Drosophila melanogaster: one gene and its partner. The gene in region 2 interacts genetically with the main gene of each other region. Each region holds a gene or a part of one and is shown on either strand. Other genes may lie near its edges. The genes, in order: Trpml and crq.

Evidence for each region.
Region 1: of crq (region 2) and Trpml, changing one suppresses a phenotype caused by changing the other (phenotypic suppression), as found in Drosophila melanogaster (one study listed by BioGRID).

Annotation. Positions count from the first base shown.
Region 1 is NT_037436.4:19,712,552-19,720,943, forward strand, and holds Trpml (transient receptor potential cation channel, mucolipin), read right to left. Parts: upstream 5,778-8,392; 5' UTR 5,518-5,777; coding exon 5,149-5,517; intron 4,448-5,148; coding exon 3,597-4,447; intron 3,457-3,596; coding exon 2,718-3,456; 3' UTR 1,867-2,717; downstream 1-1,866. Other genes in the region: CG42637 (uncharacterized protein), read right to left, coding at 7,893-8,392.
Region 2 is NT_033779.5:446,814-455,896, forward strand, and holds crq (croquemort), read right to left. Parts: upstream 6,212-9,083; 5' UTR 5,764-6,211; intron 4,490-5,763; exon of another isoform or gene 4,417-4,489; intron 4,066-4,416; 5' UTR 3,982-4,065; coding exon 3,853-3,981; intron 3,728-3,852; coding exon 2,622-3,727; intron 2,508-2,621; coding exon 2,417-2,507; intron 2,358-2,416; coding exon 2,208-2,357; 3' UTR 1,441-2,207; downstream 1-1,440. Other genes in the region: ex (expanded), read left to right, coding at 1-436; shv (shriveled), read left to right, coding at 6,449-7,457, 7,517-7,572; CG4133 (uncharacterized protein), read left to right, coding at 8,988-9,014.

The DNA of each region.
Region 1 (8,392 bases), on a different chromosome or scaffold from region 2:
TGTAGCGATCCATGCCAGTCTGCACAGTCGAAATCGACTTCTGCTTTTGTTTTGATTCTTCTTTACGTGCATTATTGTTGTTGCAAACGGTCAGTGCTGCTGAATTATTTACAGCTGGCACAGCGATAATTAGTTGGGCCGCTGACGAAGTTGATGTTGTGGCAGTTGCCAGTGAGGTCACTGCACTCGTTATTGCAGTGTTACAGTTGCCCGGGACGGTCGTTTGGCGCTGCGAGAGGAGCGGGGTAGGAGAGGCGGTCTCTTCGCTCCACGACTTGTGAGCCGAAGCAGGCAGAGAGGGAGAGCAAGAACGCGGTCTGTCGTTCGCTGAGGGCAAAAGTTTCGAGATAGTTGAAGGTGAGGGTGCTCGATCACCGATTTGCGGTGAGACGAAAGAAAAGTATGCATTGTTGCGTTGTAAAGAGAGCCGGCGCTCGTCTTGTTCACATTGTCGCTGAGAACGTATGTCGTTTTGATTCATTGTTCTAAGTCCACATATAACAATTACCAGAACAATATGGAATAATTATTTATTTTAGTAAATAATTACTATAGTCAATAATTGTTAGTTGTGCAAACTGCACTTTACACTTTGTGTTTAACTTTCACTATACTGTTGTAGTTTTTAGAACTTGCTATTCGTAGCTTGAAAGAAACACGTCTCCACCCGAAGACTGTGGAATGCCGAATACAAATTTCTTGACCAATAAAATATTCAAGCCTAGTTAGAACTTTATAATAATATAGATATTATATTCTACATGAGGAGATTCAATGGATATGGCTCAACAATTAATAATCAATAAGAAGAATGTATCTTAGCTATGTCAAGTAAAATAAGAAACTGTGTTTGCTTCTTTTCTAAAATTAACCGGAAAGTGTATTGCAAGTTCGTATTTCTTCAAACAAACTTGAAGAAAGATACATCTTCGATTATTTTTTATAATTTGACTGCTAAGTAGTTCCTCTGCGTCGTCTGGCCGTTCCAATTTAAAAGCAGTTTTTTACCCGCAGCGACCTTGATCATTTTAAAGCCAAATTAAAGCCATTTATGGCCCACAGAGCGGTACGTCGTGGCTCGACGACTGCCAGCTGACAGAGAGGCGTCTAAAGGCGTGACGAACTGCCACCAACTTGAGCGTTTTATTCAGCTTTTTTTCCAGTTTCTTTCTGATTTCTAGTGGCTCCAACTCTAAAGTGTGCCAAAGTGCTTTGCGGATCGGCGAGGGACCTTTCTGAATTGTCATTGTCTATTTTTGCCACTCTTGACATTTGCATAGAGGAATAAGGCTAGACTGCCAACTGGCCAGGCTGGTGCCACTCGGCTCGAATTTCCAATTAAGATTAAGTAAAATAAGTCTTTGGCTTGGACGGTTTCCGCTTCAACGAAGACGCACAGCATCTGCCTGATGAAATTTACGTCAATTGGAGAACCAGTTTTCCATTTCATTAAAATTTGCTCATCTCGTTTCGGCGAATTCTTGCAAAACATTCAATGAAATTCACGCTTAAAACCGCAAAAATTTAACATCGGCCAAATTATTAAATGTCCAATTACTGTGAAACCATTTATTCCTTTCCCTTTTATTGGGTTTTCTTTTCTTGCAATGCAATTATCCGATTGTAGAAATGTTTCGCTTGGTTTCTTGACACTTATTATGTTGACTGTTTTGGATGTATCCTTACCACAAAATAATTTAACGATTGTCTTCCTGGTCAAAACATTAAAACATTGCGCCACCTACATCTGAAGATAAAAGTAGACTTCATTGTTCCTCGTTTTGGTTAAGCTCACAATTAATTATTTTTGTTGTACACATTTTTGTTGCATATCGTTGTAATAAATTTTGGTTCAAAGTGCAATTTGTTCAATTCAATCGTTCTATAAACAGTTTATTGTGTTTGTGGTTTTTGGTTATAAATACAAAGTTTTCATTGTACACATAAAATATAGTTACCTAATGTTTCCTTATCTATGGCTTCTGAAATTGACACAAGTCGACAAAAATCGATGTTGTGTTATGCCGAACTAAACACTTTCTAAAATAACTATTTGCTTAGACTGCCAAAAATCTCATTTTGTCGACCAGTGCAGTTTTATACAATTTTTTGCTGTGACTTTCAGATTTCTATGAAAACTCGATTCGGATGCATTCGTTTTCATGGAAGATCTTGACCAGGCCCATGTCGATATCGCTAACAAAAATAGCTCCCTCTAATATAATTTCCATTGTTCTCCGATTCTGGTTCCACATTATATCACACACTTAATATCTCGCGTTACAAAAACAAATTTGCGACTTTGTGGTTTCCCAGCGTACAGCGTTGCTTGGTGCCCTTTCTTAGTCATTTTTCGGATTTTACTTTCGCAGAAATGACACAAATTCGCCTTACATTTAGTTTTTCCTTTTGGTCTTATACATTTTGTAATTTTTGTATTGAAGAAAAATGAATTTCAGTCAGAATTATATTTCTGCAAACCGAATTAAAGCCATTGCTGCGAAAGATAAAATCGGAACATGCCCGCTGTTTGTGATCAGAGCAGCTGCTTTTGGAATTTCTCATAGGTACGTACGTTATGGTTTCTCTTATCTCGGTTCAAGTGCTTTGGCAAATTAACAAACTAATACAAAAAGCTAACAACAAGTTTGACTACACACATAAAGCTGACAAAACAAAACAAAATGAAGACCTGCGGGTCGACATAGCGCACCCAGTTACTTCATAATACTAGAAAGGCTGGTGTAACCACTGTTGGGCTGGGCGGGCTCCTGATGCCGACCGCACCGTCCACAGCAGCAAATGCTCTTCACCACGTCAAGGAAGCTCGTCTGGTCGAAGTCGTCCAGGTCGGTCATGAAGACACCAGAACTAATGTCCTCTGCAGTGCGCGTTCCGACAAATGCCTTGAGATCGGTGGTGGGAAAGCCATCCTTGTAATACGCCTTTATCGTGTCGTAGGCATCCATTATGACGGCAATGAACAGCGACAGGACCACATAAATGTACAAGGATATGAACGAGTACAAGTAGATCTGGCAGAACCACCACAGCCAGGTGGCCTTGCTGGAAAGCGTGGCAAAGGTGGCGAACATATCATCACCGTTTATCAGCGCAAACAAGCACTCTGACGTTGTAGCCAGCGATCGGAACTTCATGTGATAGGGTCCCAAGATCAGCCAGCCGCAAAACACAAATCCAGCATAGATCAGCAAGGCGGCGATAAGGAAGCGCAGAATCTTTGGTGCCGCCTTTTTCAGCGTCAGTATCACAACGTTGTAGGTTTTGAAGAAGCCGAGGTAGCGCAGCACTCCGAACCAAACAAGCAGGTTGCCAATTCCCAGAAAAAGCGAGCAGGTATCCCATTGGTCCACCACCAAGTACCTTCCCTCGATTTGCTCTTTTAGAGCTGATCCAATGATCAAAAGGACGTCATTGAAAATGATCATGATGTACCTGCGAAAGCAAAACGGTTTATTATAGTCTGCAACCTTTCTGATAATTTTTGGGTTTACGTCGGCCTAACCTTCAGCATTATGGGTAATACTTGTTGCCAATATAGCCGAGGTTTTTATAACACAAAACAAAGGACTCACCAAAAGTTAACGAATTCCAGTCGGCCGTCAAAGCTCAGCTCCTTGCCGAATTGCGAACGGAAAAAGTTGACAGTTGTACATCTCAGCAGATATGCTCTCCACAGAGCCCTTGTACAGAGTGCAAAGGATAGTGCGCATGTTAGTAGGACGAATATATTAAGTACGCTTCGCAGCATGGAATCGAAATTGGCGTCTGATATGAAGTCCGTTGCTCCGTGGCACTTCAGCCGCGTCGCCTCCGCATCCAGTGAGAGCAGCATTTGCCCGTCATGGTCTCGGTTGTTAAACGTTATGGAAATGTCAAACCGAAAACAATCAGGAGCAGAAAGAGGTCCACCATTTGCCTTGAAATTAACCGTCTTTATCTTGAACGTCAACTGTGCGGAGACAAGAGATGCAAAATTGACCTCCACATCGCGCTGCCTGAGGTAATTCTCCACCCCAATGGTGGTTACGTTCGGAGGTAGTCGCTCACACACCTCGTCGATATGTGGATCGAAAATGTAGGACTCATTAAAGCCAAATATGGTGCCCTCTCTATAGTTCTGCAGGCAAAGCTTTAGTGGCGGCATTGTGTTATTGGGCGTCGGGTAGTCGTATGGTCCAATAGATCGGCTTACATTCGCGTAGCCATTGACTGCATACTGCACAGTGTCGAAGAACTCCGATTTGAGGTATAGAGCAAAGGGACCCACAGCAGGCGGATAACTCTCCACCTCCCGGGAAGAATCCCAGCCGCGCAGGAATAGATGTGAGAAGGCAAATCGGTTATCACCCGTGTAGTTGATGTGGTTATACCGCGAGTGGGCAAAAAGGCACAATTGCATCGTCACCAGAAAGATTTTTACAATCTAAGAGAAAAATTCTTGAGTTGCTAAGAAATGTTTATAGTATAACTTTTAAAGTTTCTATTTGCCTTTTGGCCTCAGGGGACGGACCTTTTCTTGGTCGCCAGTTCAGAGATCTAGAGGCTGGGCTATAAATAGAAGCCGAATTATGTTAGAGCATGCGTCAGACTATATTTATTGGGTATCTACAGGAAATCTAATTTAGTTGTAGACCTTAGAGACTAAGTGTAGACTTAAAGACTAGTCATAACATTTTCGCATTAATCATTAAAAATCGCACAAAAGAAATCCCCCTGACCACGATGTTTATCGCATATTAAATAACTTTTTGGGTTCTACAAAAGCGTCCACACGCAGTTTCTAGCCATAAAATTCTTGAATTTTCACTTTGTTTATTACGTATTGTGCTAACAATAGTTGGACCTATCAGATAAGGCATCGATAAGAGTGGAGGGGCTTAACAATGCAAGCAAAGTAATCAAGACTGTGTTGACTCTACCCCATTTTACATGCTCGAAATCTAGACAAACATTGAAGATCGGAGACGGCTGTTTAAAGGCGTCTGTAAATTAAGAGAAATGCCTAAATAAGTGGTTCAGATGTGTCACCCGAGTTCCGCCCCCAAACGCCGCGCATCACACGACTTCAATTAACTAGCATTCATCCAGATGTGAACTGCAAATGAAACCCGGATGTGAACTCACCTGCACAACGAACTTGTACGGAAATTTCCGCTTGGCCTGCCATTTCTCAATGGGGTTCATAAAGAAGAACTGAAGCTTCCTGCGCATTCGCTCCTCCTGGTAAGATGCAGCCGAGGATCCGGGGAATTCGGGCTGCTCCTCGCGGCCATCCACGGAGGGTGGGGCAGTGCCACTACCGGCGGATATGGGCATGGGCACCACCGGGGCCACCGGAGTGGACTGCAGCTGCACTTGGCGCCGCAGTATCCTGGTGTTCACGTACTCCTCGTCGCTCTCCGGCGACTGCTGCTGTTGCTGGGCAGCCTCGTAGCTGTCCGTGCGGCGCTTGACGGCCGGAGCTGTCTGGGCTCCGGGGCCGTAGCTCTGCATCTCGATGTGCTCCTCCTTCGTTGCGAGGTCAAGTCACCTGCGTTGTTGTTCTCCGTGCTAACTTTCTTTTGCCCGCCCAGTCGACATGCAAAAGAAGAATCCGCACAGGCGCAACAAGCAATCGGGGGAGGGGAGGTAAATATGTGTTCTTTTGCAATTAATACGCGACTTTTGCCAGCGAATTTATATTAAATACTGGCCAAAAGACCACGAAAATTGCTTTGTTTTCAATAGGTTTAAACGATTACAGATGTTTATTCGATATAATCGACTGTTCCAAATAGAGTTCAGCATCGATAGTTGCTTGCAATCATCGATTATTTAAATCGCGCGCCTTTTCATCGGTAGTCAAAATTCAAGTGCAGCACGGTGAAACATGAAACATGGAGAACTTTCCTATTTATTTATTTTTTTCCGTTATTTGGAGGTGAATTCCAAAAAAAATTAAATAATGTTAAGAAAGAAAAGATCTAACTATCTATGTACGAGTTCAGTTTATAGAACTCAGCTCTAAATATCGAAAAAATAATTAATTAAAAACTTCCCCGTATTCCAAATTCCGCCGTTCCTCTAACGCAGCTAACTCATCGACGCTACATGGACGTACATTCAAAATTATATTGAGGTCCATCCATTTATTATTCTTTTATGTTCAAGAAATATGACTATTTCCTTTTTTTATATTTTTGAATTTATGAGAAATCAACTTTATTTTGCGGTCTTGAAAACTGCTACCTCATTTTTGACATTGTATTTTACATTAAACATACGTACGTACTTACATATGTCAACATCTGTCACTAATGCTTAGTTATCTTATTAAATTGAAGTTAAAAAATAAACTAAAAGCGTAAAATAATACATAATCATTTGGAGCAAATATAATACTCACAGGAAAAAACAAATGTTTTCTTTCTGCCCAAGAAGAACTCTTGATAAAACCCACGAAGTCTTCCCATACGTTTCACTGTTCCCAGTGCATAAACATTTCAAAAGGAGTTCCAATAAACTAAAAGCGTAAAATAATACATAATCATTTGGAGCAAATATAATACTCACAGGAAAAAACAAATGTTTTCTTTCTGCCCAAGAAGAACTCTTGATAAAACCCACGAAGTCTTCCCATACGTTTCACTGTTCCCAGTGCATAAACATTTCAAAAGGAGTTCCAATGAATCGATGGCTTTAGTTGCAAGAACTTACAGAGATCTTATCGTGAGATCACACTTACAGTGATCTCTTATATGCTTAACATGTTTTTTTGTATTCACCACGACTTCAGAAATGTTTGTCGAAACACAAAACACAACTGTTCCCAGTGCTCGGAATATTTTAAAAATGTTTCTTTTAGAAGAAGTGTTCTCCAAGTTTCTAGTCTTTCCCGCAGGATTCACCCTCGTATCTACCATCTATTGAACATTTTGCACCATTTAAGCATATCTGGACAAACACACTTTTAATAGTTTCTCGTTTGTATTTATATATGGCAAATTTAACAAATTTTCATTTAAAAATATACATACATACATACATACAGCTAAAACACCTCTCATCGGGCGCATTTTCGCTCTTCTCTGCTCACAATTCGCGTTCAATTAATTATAATTATTATTTTAGCTTTAGAGACTTAAATATTACGTACAATCACACGCACTTAACTACGTACTAGCAAAACACATTGATACATTACATTTTTCACGCTCGTTTTGATTTTCAAATACATAAATTAACTAGTTTCTGTTTAAGCATAATTTGTTTGCTGCTGCGCATCGTGTATGGAAAGCAGAAAATTTCGATTACATTTACATAAAATATTTGATTTTGATTCTCCATCGTCGTATAAATATGTGTGTCGTTGTGTTTATGTGTTACATTTACAAACGTACATTTAGATGTGTGGGTGTGTGTTTATTTTATATAAAACAATAACTAGTCTGAAGACCTTGTGACTAGACGGTTTTTTCGGCTTCTCTAATATGTATGTATGTAGAGTTATAAAATATATGCTATGTATGATTTTCGCTTCAGCTTCTGCTCGCTTCTACTTCGGGATCGCAGGATTTTCCTCGAAAACGAATAAAAATAGTTTGGAAACCCATAGGACACATATGTAGAGTCCCGCAATGCCAGAGCGATCAAAGAGTTAAGAACCGGCTGGTATATGTTTATAGGTGGATGACTTCCAACACAGACACACAATTCGTTCGATCCATACAAACTACAATACATAAAACAAAGAAGTAAGCCAAAAGACGATCGTTTCCTGCTCGACTCGGTTCCTGAGTAACTTTTCCATCTCTCTCATCCGGCTATTTAGCTCATCCTGGTCATCCTGCTCCTTCTTCCTTAGTTTCTACACTGCCTTCTCCTTATCTCTATACTATACTCTCACGATCGCGGGCTGCTGCCGATGCCGCCATATCCGTGAATCCGGTTCGTGCGCCGTGCACACCGCTGGGCAGGATTCCTACTCGCCTAGCCTCACCGCTACGCACGCCGTTGCCCTTGAAGATGTTAGTCATCCAGTTAGTCAGCTTACTCCCACCAGCCGCTTTGGATCTATGATGCTGATTGGAGGAACCGCTGAAGAAGTCCAGATCTCCGGGGTGGCGGTTATCAATATCGGCGGCATAGCTAACGCTATTTCCGCCATGCCCACCGGGACCATCCATGTGCTCCAGTGAGTGCCAACGTTTGTTGTGCGCCAGCATCTCCTCTGGCGGCACCGACAGCGATGCCTGGCGTTGCAGCAGGGGCGACTCAAGATCATCCTCGACGTTCACTCCTCCGTTGCAGTTGTTGTTCAGATGCTTGGCACAGTTGCTCCCACCTCCTTCTCTTCCTCCTCCTCCTCCTCCTGCTGACCTTCCTGTAG
Region 2 (9,083 bases):
CAACAGCATTTTGGCCCAGCTGCAGGCTTCAATGGTAGCCCAGTCTCATGCCCAGGCACAGGCCCAAGCGCTAGACATTGCGCTTCTTCGGGAGAAGAGCAAGCATCTAGATCTGCCGCTGATCTCGGCGCTCTGCAACGATCGCTCCTTGCTGAAACAGACTAAGGTTGTTATAAATCCGAAGACTGGCCAGGAGATGCCCACTTCCAGTGCGCAACCTTCAGGTGCCACCACAAATGGAGTTGCCAACTCCTCTGCAGGAGCAGGAACCCTAAGCAAGGCCAGAAAAGGATCTACCGTAAGCCACCGTCATCCGCAGGACAAACTGCCGCCTTTACCTGTCCAACAATTGGCGGAGGCCAACAACTACGTGATCGATCCCGCTGTCATGATGAAGCAACAGCAGCAGCAGCAGCAGCACAACAAGACCAGCTAGACTCGACAAGCTAATTGGAAACCGGAACGGAAGTGGACATTGGGGGTCCAATACGACACTCTTCTCTCTAGTTCGATTGCTGTTCGAAGTGCTGATGTATGAGTGTGCCCAGGTGAAGAGCTAATTCTGCGTTCGGAAATTTGCATAGATCGGGTGGTGTAGCGTTATATAAATTCGATCACAGTGTTTCGAAGGGTAAAGATTCGCCGGGCACAAAAGGGTAAATGTAAACGAAAACCCACCGTGAGAAACCATTTGTCAGAACAGCAGAAACAATAGCTATTTAGTAGGAACTAACATGCATTTAACTAGCGAAGACAGTTTTTTAGAAAAACACAAACTAGCAGGTCCACCAACTTCAGATGGTAAAATACACGAGCCACTGAAACAACTGAATATCACAGAGTCAATACTTAAGCCTACAGGACGTGAGCAACGTAACCTCAAAATACACATTCAAATAATCAGAACCCAGTCTAGTCACTTAAGGGAATTGGTAACGTAACCACAGCACAGACCACAACATGACACAACATCGGAAATAGAGAGGAAGCTTATCAAAATGGGAAGCAACAATACTCAAGTATAAAATACGACCACTACCTAATTTACTAAACTACATCGTAGATCTTTAGTCTTAGCTGCAAATACTTAGTTAGGCCAGAAATGCGAATACTTAAAACTAACTACTTCCGCCCAAACAACTGTGATTGATTTTTATTTAAACTTATACTAAATTTATAACTATTTTAGTCACCAAGAACAACGCAACATATACTATGCAAATTTTTTAGTACGTAGCAACGTCGCTCTTTATACACACACACACATACTCACAACGAATCGGGCCAGCGGTAGAATCAAGTGAAAAGCATTCAAATCGGCTATGAAATGGTTTGAAATGGGTTTGCTTGCTCCGATCGCTGGACGAAGGGAACTAAAGAATTTCAAGAGTGCCTAGACTTGCCCTCCATCCCCACCATAGTAATAAGCGAGAGATGATTATCATTTATTTTTTGTATCCACTTTGTTTATTATTTTTTGTTCGATTAATAATCCCCCACTGTTTTTTTGGATGTGTTAGTGTGCGTGCAAAAATTAATTTGAGTTTTTGATGGATGTCACAAATATTTGCGTAGATTTTTCTCGACTAAAAGTCTATGGCTAAATTGAGGAATGTGATCTTTGAGAAAATGTAAAATTTTTGCCATATATCTTACATATACACCAATATATATACATATATATAAATAAATATATATACGTATACAATTATTTTTATTTATTAATTTACAAAACAACATTTGAATAATGCATTTATAAAGCAAATCGTTAAAGCATCCAACAATCGTATACGATAAGTAAAAGTCCTGCAGAAAAGCATACAGAAATTGTAAAAAACTATCTTTTCAAAATAAATGAAAATTCAAATAAAAACGTTAAAATAAAATGCACGGAGTGTTTTAGTTGTATGAAGTATTGTTTATCAAGTACGATAACTTAAGTCTCAAACAGAAAGTTTCAACTTGTGAATGATTCGTGTAATATGCAGATAGAGTAAGGTTTTTTTTTTAGAGTTAGAGTAGTTTTTAGTTTTTTTTTTAGAGTAGGTTTTGCTATCACAAACTGCAAGACGAACGTCGATTCGTATCACTTACATATTACATAACGCATAACTGACAAAGAACAGCATTTGACGGGCGACTATCAGAATGAACTAGGAGAGTTAACAATTCCTGGCACTTTGGCAAAGCTTAAAAACTATTTTGCTCTAGTTGGTAAGTATGTCCTCATCCTCGGGAGTTCGCCGCACCCACTTTTTCGTCACAGTCAGCGTGATGCCGGTGATGAGAAAGACACTGGCAAAAGCTATCATGGAATAGCCGAATATGATTCCGTAACTGGACAAATTAATGGCCAACTGAAATGGAAAGTATGGCACTTAAATGAAAGACATTTCAAATATGGATTAGGTCTTACCTTGGCCTTCGATGCCAATTCGGAGGAGAGCTCTGCATACTGATCGAACCAGAACATGGGCATTAAAACCTTTTGCACTCCACGATATATGCTGCAAATAAAATTTACTTTATGACTTACATTTTCCTTGAGACCTTTGCTTTTATGTACGTAATTGTATGAATCGTATGAGTAGTTTTTATCCATGAACTTTTACTTTACTTACTCGAAGTCGTCATCGGGCTCAATCATCATATTAATCTGGATGCGTCCATGCACTTGGACAGGCACTCCAGTAATCGGTTCCACGGCTAGGAAGAACTCGTGCTTCTCCTTCTCCGGCTTCATTCCACTGACAGCATCAACATACGACTGATCCGCTAGGTAAAAGTGAGGGAAGGAGGAGTAAATGGGTGCTTTGTCTCGGCACGCCTTGCACTCCACGACACCGGTCTTGGGACATTCATCAAATCGCGCCTCATCACAGAAGCACGCCTGGTTAGGGTAGTTTTCTCCGGAGTCCAGAGTCTCCTCGGTGCCTACCCACTTAGTGGCGGTCAGGCCGTGATTCTCGTATGTGCCCCGGGGCCGGAGGTTCATAAATCTGCAAGCATCGGTGGCAAAAATCGTAATCTCATCGTTTACATTCATCTTTGGCGGGAACATGTCGCCCGTGGTTCCATTAACAATGCCACAAGGCATCTCGTAAAATCCAGTTTCTGATTTTCCATTCCAGTGGGTAAGTCTACCCAGATTAGATATATCGTCAGTGCCCGTGTGAATAGTAAACAAGCCATCGTAAGTCAGCGACTCATTGCGGTCCGCCAGCCACCCGAAGCGTTTGTAGGGTATGTCGATCTTTGTGGTGTTGAACAGGTTTAGGAAATCGGTAATGTTATCCTGGTAACCCTCGAAGATCCATTCGCCCACCGGCTTGGTTACGTACAACTTTCCGCCTTCATGGTTCAGCATAAAGTTTATGATTTTTTTGACGATCTTGCGCTGGTCTCGCATCTCATCCGCTACCGTGGCGGTAATGGCATGGGCAGCAGTCACCATGTCGTCCAATGTGCCATTGGATCTCTCCGGATCAAAGAACCATGTGCGGCGCTCATAATATGCCACCGTTGCATTATCGTAAAACGTATAGTTCTCCTTCTTGTGCTTTTCCAGGAAGGTGTACGGACCCATTTCCACGAAGTTTGGCTTAATGTCCGGGTTCCTTATGTCCTCGGGATTCGTCCAATTGAACATGTAAAAGCTCAGGTAAATGGGGATAGGTGCCTCCAGCCAGCTTTCATAGGCATCAGTCCCGGGCTTGAGGGTAAGGCCCTGGGTAAAGATTAAGTTCATTTTAGTATGTCGAAATGAAAATCTTTTTTTTTTTTAGTTATCGTTCGGTAAACATATTTCCCTGAACCTGTAATACGCAATCTCGGACGGCTAAATATACTTACATCCTCTACAAGGTTATCTGCAATACCCGGCCAGAAGACCACGATTAGTATTCCCAGCAAAAGGAAAACCGATCCCAAGCCGAAGACCCAGACCTTTCGTTGAGTTTCCCCGCAGCACTTGCAGCACATGGTGGATACGTAGGATTCCAAAGGTTCACGCTTTTAAGGAATAGCCAAGGTGGGAATAATCCAGCCCTAGGCAGTTAGTTGCATCTGGAAGTGAAGACAGTTTGTGGGGTTATTTTTCCTTGTATAATCAATGTCCATAATCCGTATCGAATTTTTATTAGTTTATTTCCCGGTACACCCATCCTGGCACCCTGCAGAGTTGGTAATTTTGAAAATAATAAGACCAAGGCTTATCGCCGGCTGGTCCCTGCTTAAGTATTCGATAAGCATCGGCGATTATAAGTGTATATTTTTGAATATATTTTGCAGTCCATGACAGTTGGAGAAGATTACGTGGGACAGCCCACTTATCCGCACAGTCAACTTCAAGTGCAGACATCCGCAGATCTATTCAGTTTTCTAGCACTTGCCACTGTTTAGGTCGCCTAAACTTACTAGTTTTCAATCAAAGGGGATCGAAAATATTCCGGCCTTAGCACAATCGGAACTATCAAAACCGTACGCGTCCCCTGGCAGGGCGAAACTGGTGGCCAGCGGTCTACTGTGTGTCTTTTAATGGGTTCACTTGACGTTCAATTACCACTCGGTTCGTTTATTAATCTCTGGACTTTGCTAGTCGGGAATATTTGCTTGATTGGCATTAACTTGGATGCGTTTGGAGAAACACAAAAAAGAGATCACTCTACTCGAATTCCTCGACTTTCAGTTACTCGTAACTCAGGTAGCTGGCTGCCACAAAATTTTAATATTTTGGTATTCAGAGTGGGTATGTTGCAAATATTTGTAGCATAGCGATAGAAATGAAAATCTTATCTTTCTAACATTTATAGTTCGCGAGATCAAAGCGTTCATGCGAAGGCGGATGGCTAGATCGACTCGGGTGGTTATTCTGATCGAGTGAGTAGGTTTTATGGCAGATTGATTTACAATAGTTAAAATTCCTTTTAATATTATAAACATTTATAATTATGGTAATTTCATGCCTAGATGTTATTTATGTCCATGCTTGTCTGCAATTCAAATTCATTCAAGTCTAAGATAGTGTTTAGTATCGTTATCTGGGTAATACCCGCATTTCTCGGCTATTTGCTTCTGTGGTTGGTTGGTCAAGATGTTCTCACAAGGGGTTCCTATTTATGGCACTGATAAGATTAGCTTTGTGGAGATACTGATAATTCGGTCGAAATATGCTTTACTATACCATATCAGCCTTGATCCGTCCTGTAATCCAAAGTTCTTTTAATGCAATAGGAACGGGGCCTGTTTTTATCGTAAGTCTGGTGCATATCGTATTGCAATTTCGATTCCCTGCTTTGTTTCCTCCCGTCGACTGACTCAGTCTTGTTTTTGTCGGATTATTGGGCTGGCTCTATACTACAATGAATATTTCTTTGTTTAACGACTGATAACAGGCAAAAAAGGGGGTCTGGAACTACAGTAGAGCCTTTTGAGCTTGTACGAGTCCCAGTAGGATAACTCGAGAATTCATGTTAACTGTTTAAGGCGAATTAATATTAATAATAATTGATTAATATTAAATGGTTTTTAAAATAGTTTGTTGTAAACTGCATTGTGTATGCACTATATATGTTTACTGCATGTTGTCTCTCTTTTGAGGGCGATAGCTTGCATCCCGTGAAATGTTTGCTTTCTGGTTGAACTTAAACCTCGATCAACTTGCGCTTAAAGTGTTGACATCACCAGTTGCGAATTAGGCGTACAGTTATATTCACGTATTATTGCACATTACCGGCTGCATAATTAAAGTGATGAATTACTCACCTTTTATCTCACACACAACTACGTCTTTTAGCATTAGCTTCTGATGGCTCTGTTATTGTTTTGCTTTGGCCTTGACATTTATTATGCCATAGTTCGGAGTAAATTTATTTTTCTGGGACTTCCCGCTTCGATGATCGCTTAGTCCCTTTACCTTTGGTGCCTGGAATCGCAAAAGTACCGTACGAAAGGGATTCAAATTGTCAGACTTCCCTTCTTATTACTTTTACAGCTAAACTCAAGCGTGGGAAGCGCCTTTGGAATTGATCTGAAAGCTGCTATCCAACTAAAAAAAAGGCACTTTCGCGTTGCCGAAGAGGGCAAGCAGAGAAAGATAAACTGCAAACTTGCAGTTTGCTGGGCTAAATTGGATTAAACAATTTATTTCTTTATCTTCGCTGGGCGAGTGTGACCAGAAGCGTTTATATGCGCTGTAACAGCACTGTAAGCAACGTTGCCACAGTTTTTGGATTGACTGTAATGCGAAACAGCTGTTCTGTTAGAGAAGTGGTGACAACCCTAACGACAGTGCCAACCAATCAGCGCAGACCACGACTCACACACACAAACAAAGCTGCCAGCGGCGACAACTACAATTTTTTTACACTTTTGCCAGCATTTAAAATCGTATTTCGAATCAGCTGGTTAAAAAGAATGAATTGCTGAATCAAACAGGATCAAAAACGAAATGCAGCTTATCAAGTGCTTGGTTATAATTCAGCTGTCCCTCTTGCTGGTGGAGGAGTCATTTGCCGGCCGGGACTTCTACAAAATACTGAACGTAAAGAAAAACGCCAACACGAACGAAGTGAAGAAGGCGTATCGCCGTTTGGCCAAGGAGCTGCATCCGGATAAGAACAAGGACGACCCGGATGCCTCCACAAAGTTCCAGGACCTGGGAGCGGCCTACGAAGTCCTCTCCAATCCGGACAAACGGAAGACCTACGACCGCTGCGGCGAGGAATGCCTCAAGAAGGAGGGCATGATGGATCACGGTGGTGATCCGTTCTCTAGCTTCTTTGGGGACTTCGGCTTTCACTTCGGTGGTGATGGCCAGCAGCAAGATGCTCCGCGAGGCGCCGATATCGTAATGGACTTGTACGTTTCCCTGGAGGAGCTATACTCCGGAAACTTTGTGGAAATTGTGAGGAACAAGCCTGTAACGAAACCCGCCTCAGGCACCAGGAAATGCAACTGCCGCCAGGAGATGGTCACCCGGAACCTTGGACCCGGGCGCTTCCAGATGATCCAACAGACGGTGTGCGACGAGTGTCCCAACGTGAAGCTAGTCAACGAGGAGCGCACATTGGAGATCGAGGTGGAACAGGGCATGGTCGACGGCCAAGAGACGAGGTTCGTGGCCGAGGGGGAGCCACATATCGATGGGGAGCCCGGCGACCTCATTGTGCGGGTTCAACAAATGCCGCATCCGCGATTCCTGCGCAAGAATGATGATCTGTACACGAACGTGACCATCAGTCTGCAGGATGCCCTTGTCGGCTTCTCCATGGAGATCAAGCACCTTGATGGACACCTGGTGCCCGTCACGAGAGAGAAGGTAACGTGGCCCGGCGCTAGAATCCGCAAGAAGGGCGAGGGCATGCCCAACTTTGAGAACAACAACCTCACCGGCAACCTGTACATCACCTTCGATGTGGAGTTCCCCAAGAAGGATCTTACGGAGGAGGACAAGGAAGGTTAGCATATACATTATCACAAGAGTAATTGTTTCATTAATAAACGTTTCTAATTCTAGCGCTCAAGAAAATACTCGACCAATCCTCCATCAATCGCATATACAATGGACTGTGAATACCCATGTTTCATCCCCAATAAAAGTGCTCGCCGGCTGTACTCTAGTTTTTAAATGCCTAACTAACAGGGCGACTTTGATTTGGGAACGCCCCTAATTCAAGAGATGACTTTGTTCAAAAAAGTTGTGCGAAAACAATTTAATTTTAGTTTAGAATTTTGTAAAATAGCAAAAGTGTAATGAGAGGGAACTATTAAGGCGGTTCCTGCCGACAAAAAGGAATTGCAACAAAAACCAACCCCCACAAAATAAAGCGGATTTAAATTATATACAACTTTGCGGAAGCTACTATTTTTGATTTACTGTTTTTAAAAGGGATTTTTTGATTGTCTCAGAAATAATTTAATTTGAAAACTATTATATTAAGACAATCGATAGGCTGCATTATTGCAACCTTGGCTCAGCTGTCGATAACTGGCGCAGGAATCCGCAAGAAGGGCGAGGGCATGCCCAACTTTGAGAACAACAACCTCACCGGCAACCTGTACATCACCTTCGATGTGGAGTTCCCCAAGAAGGATCTTACGGAGGAGGACAAGGAAGGTTAGCATATACATTATCACAAGAGTAATTGTTTCATTAATAAACGTTTCTAATTCTAGCGCTCAAGAAAATACTCGACCAATCCTCCATCAATCGCATATACAATGGACTGTGAATACCCATGTTTCATCCCCAATAAAAGTGCTCGCCGGCTGTACTCTAGTTTTTAAATGCCTAACTAACAGGGCGACTTTGATTTGGGAACGCCCCTAATTCAAGAGATGACTTTGTTCAAAAAAGTTGTGCGAAAACAATTTAATTTTAGTTTAGAATTTTGTAAAATAGCAAAAGTGTAATGAGAGGGAACTATTAAGGCGGTTCCTGCCGACAAAAAGGAATTGCAACAAAAACCAACCCCCACAAAATAAAGCGGATTTAAATTATATACAACTTTGCGGAAGCTACTATTTTTGATTTACTGTTTTTAAAAGGGATTTTTTGATTGTCTCAGAAATAATTTAATTTGAAAACTATTATATTAAGACAATCGATAGGCTGCATTATTGCAACCTTGGCTCAGCTGTCGATAACTGGCGCAGGACAACGTTCTAACGGGAGTAAAACCGAGAGCGAACAATCGGGAGAGCGTTACAGGAAGTAGCGAATTCACATTAGAGAGCGAAGAAATTTGTACCAGTGCGGACGTGGACAAGCTCGATCCAGCTTTATTATTTATTTTATCAGAAAGCAGAACCCACAACCGAAAAAACCAGTCATTGGCAAGGCTAAAAGATATTATTGCCTACCATCCTTTACTTCATACCTCGCATTGGAAAGTGAAGTTGAGTTGGAAAAGGAGAACTAGAAAAAGGATTTCTAGACCGAAAAAACAAGACACCAACAGCACAACGACCATAAATACATAGTATGAATGTCGCCTAAATATCATAATTTCGAGGTGAGTCGCGAGCAACTCCTCCGAGCAGTCTTTTCAGTTCCCGTCCCACGGATTTCGTGTTCCGCGAAG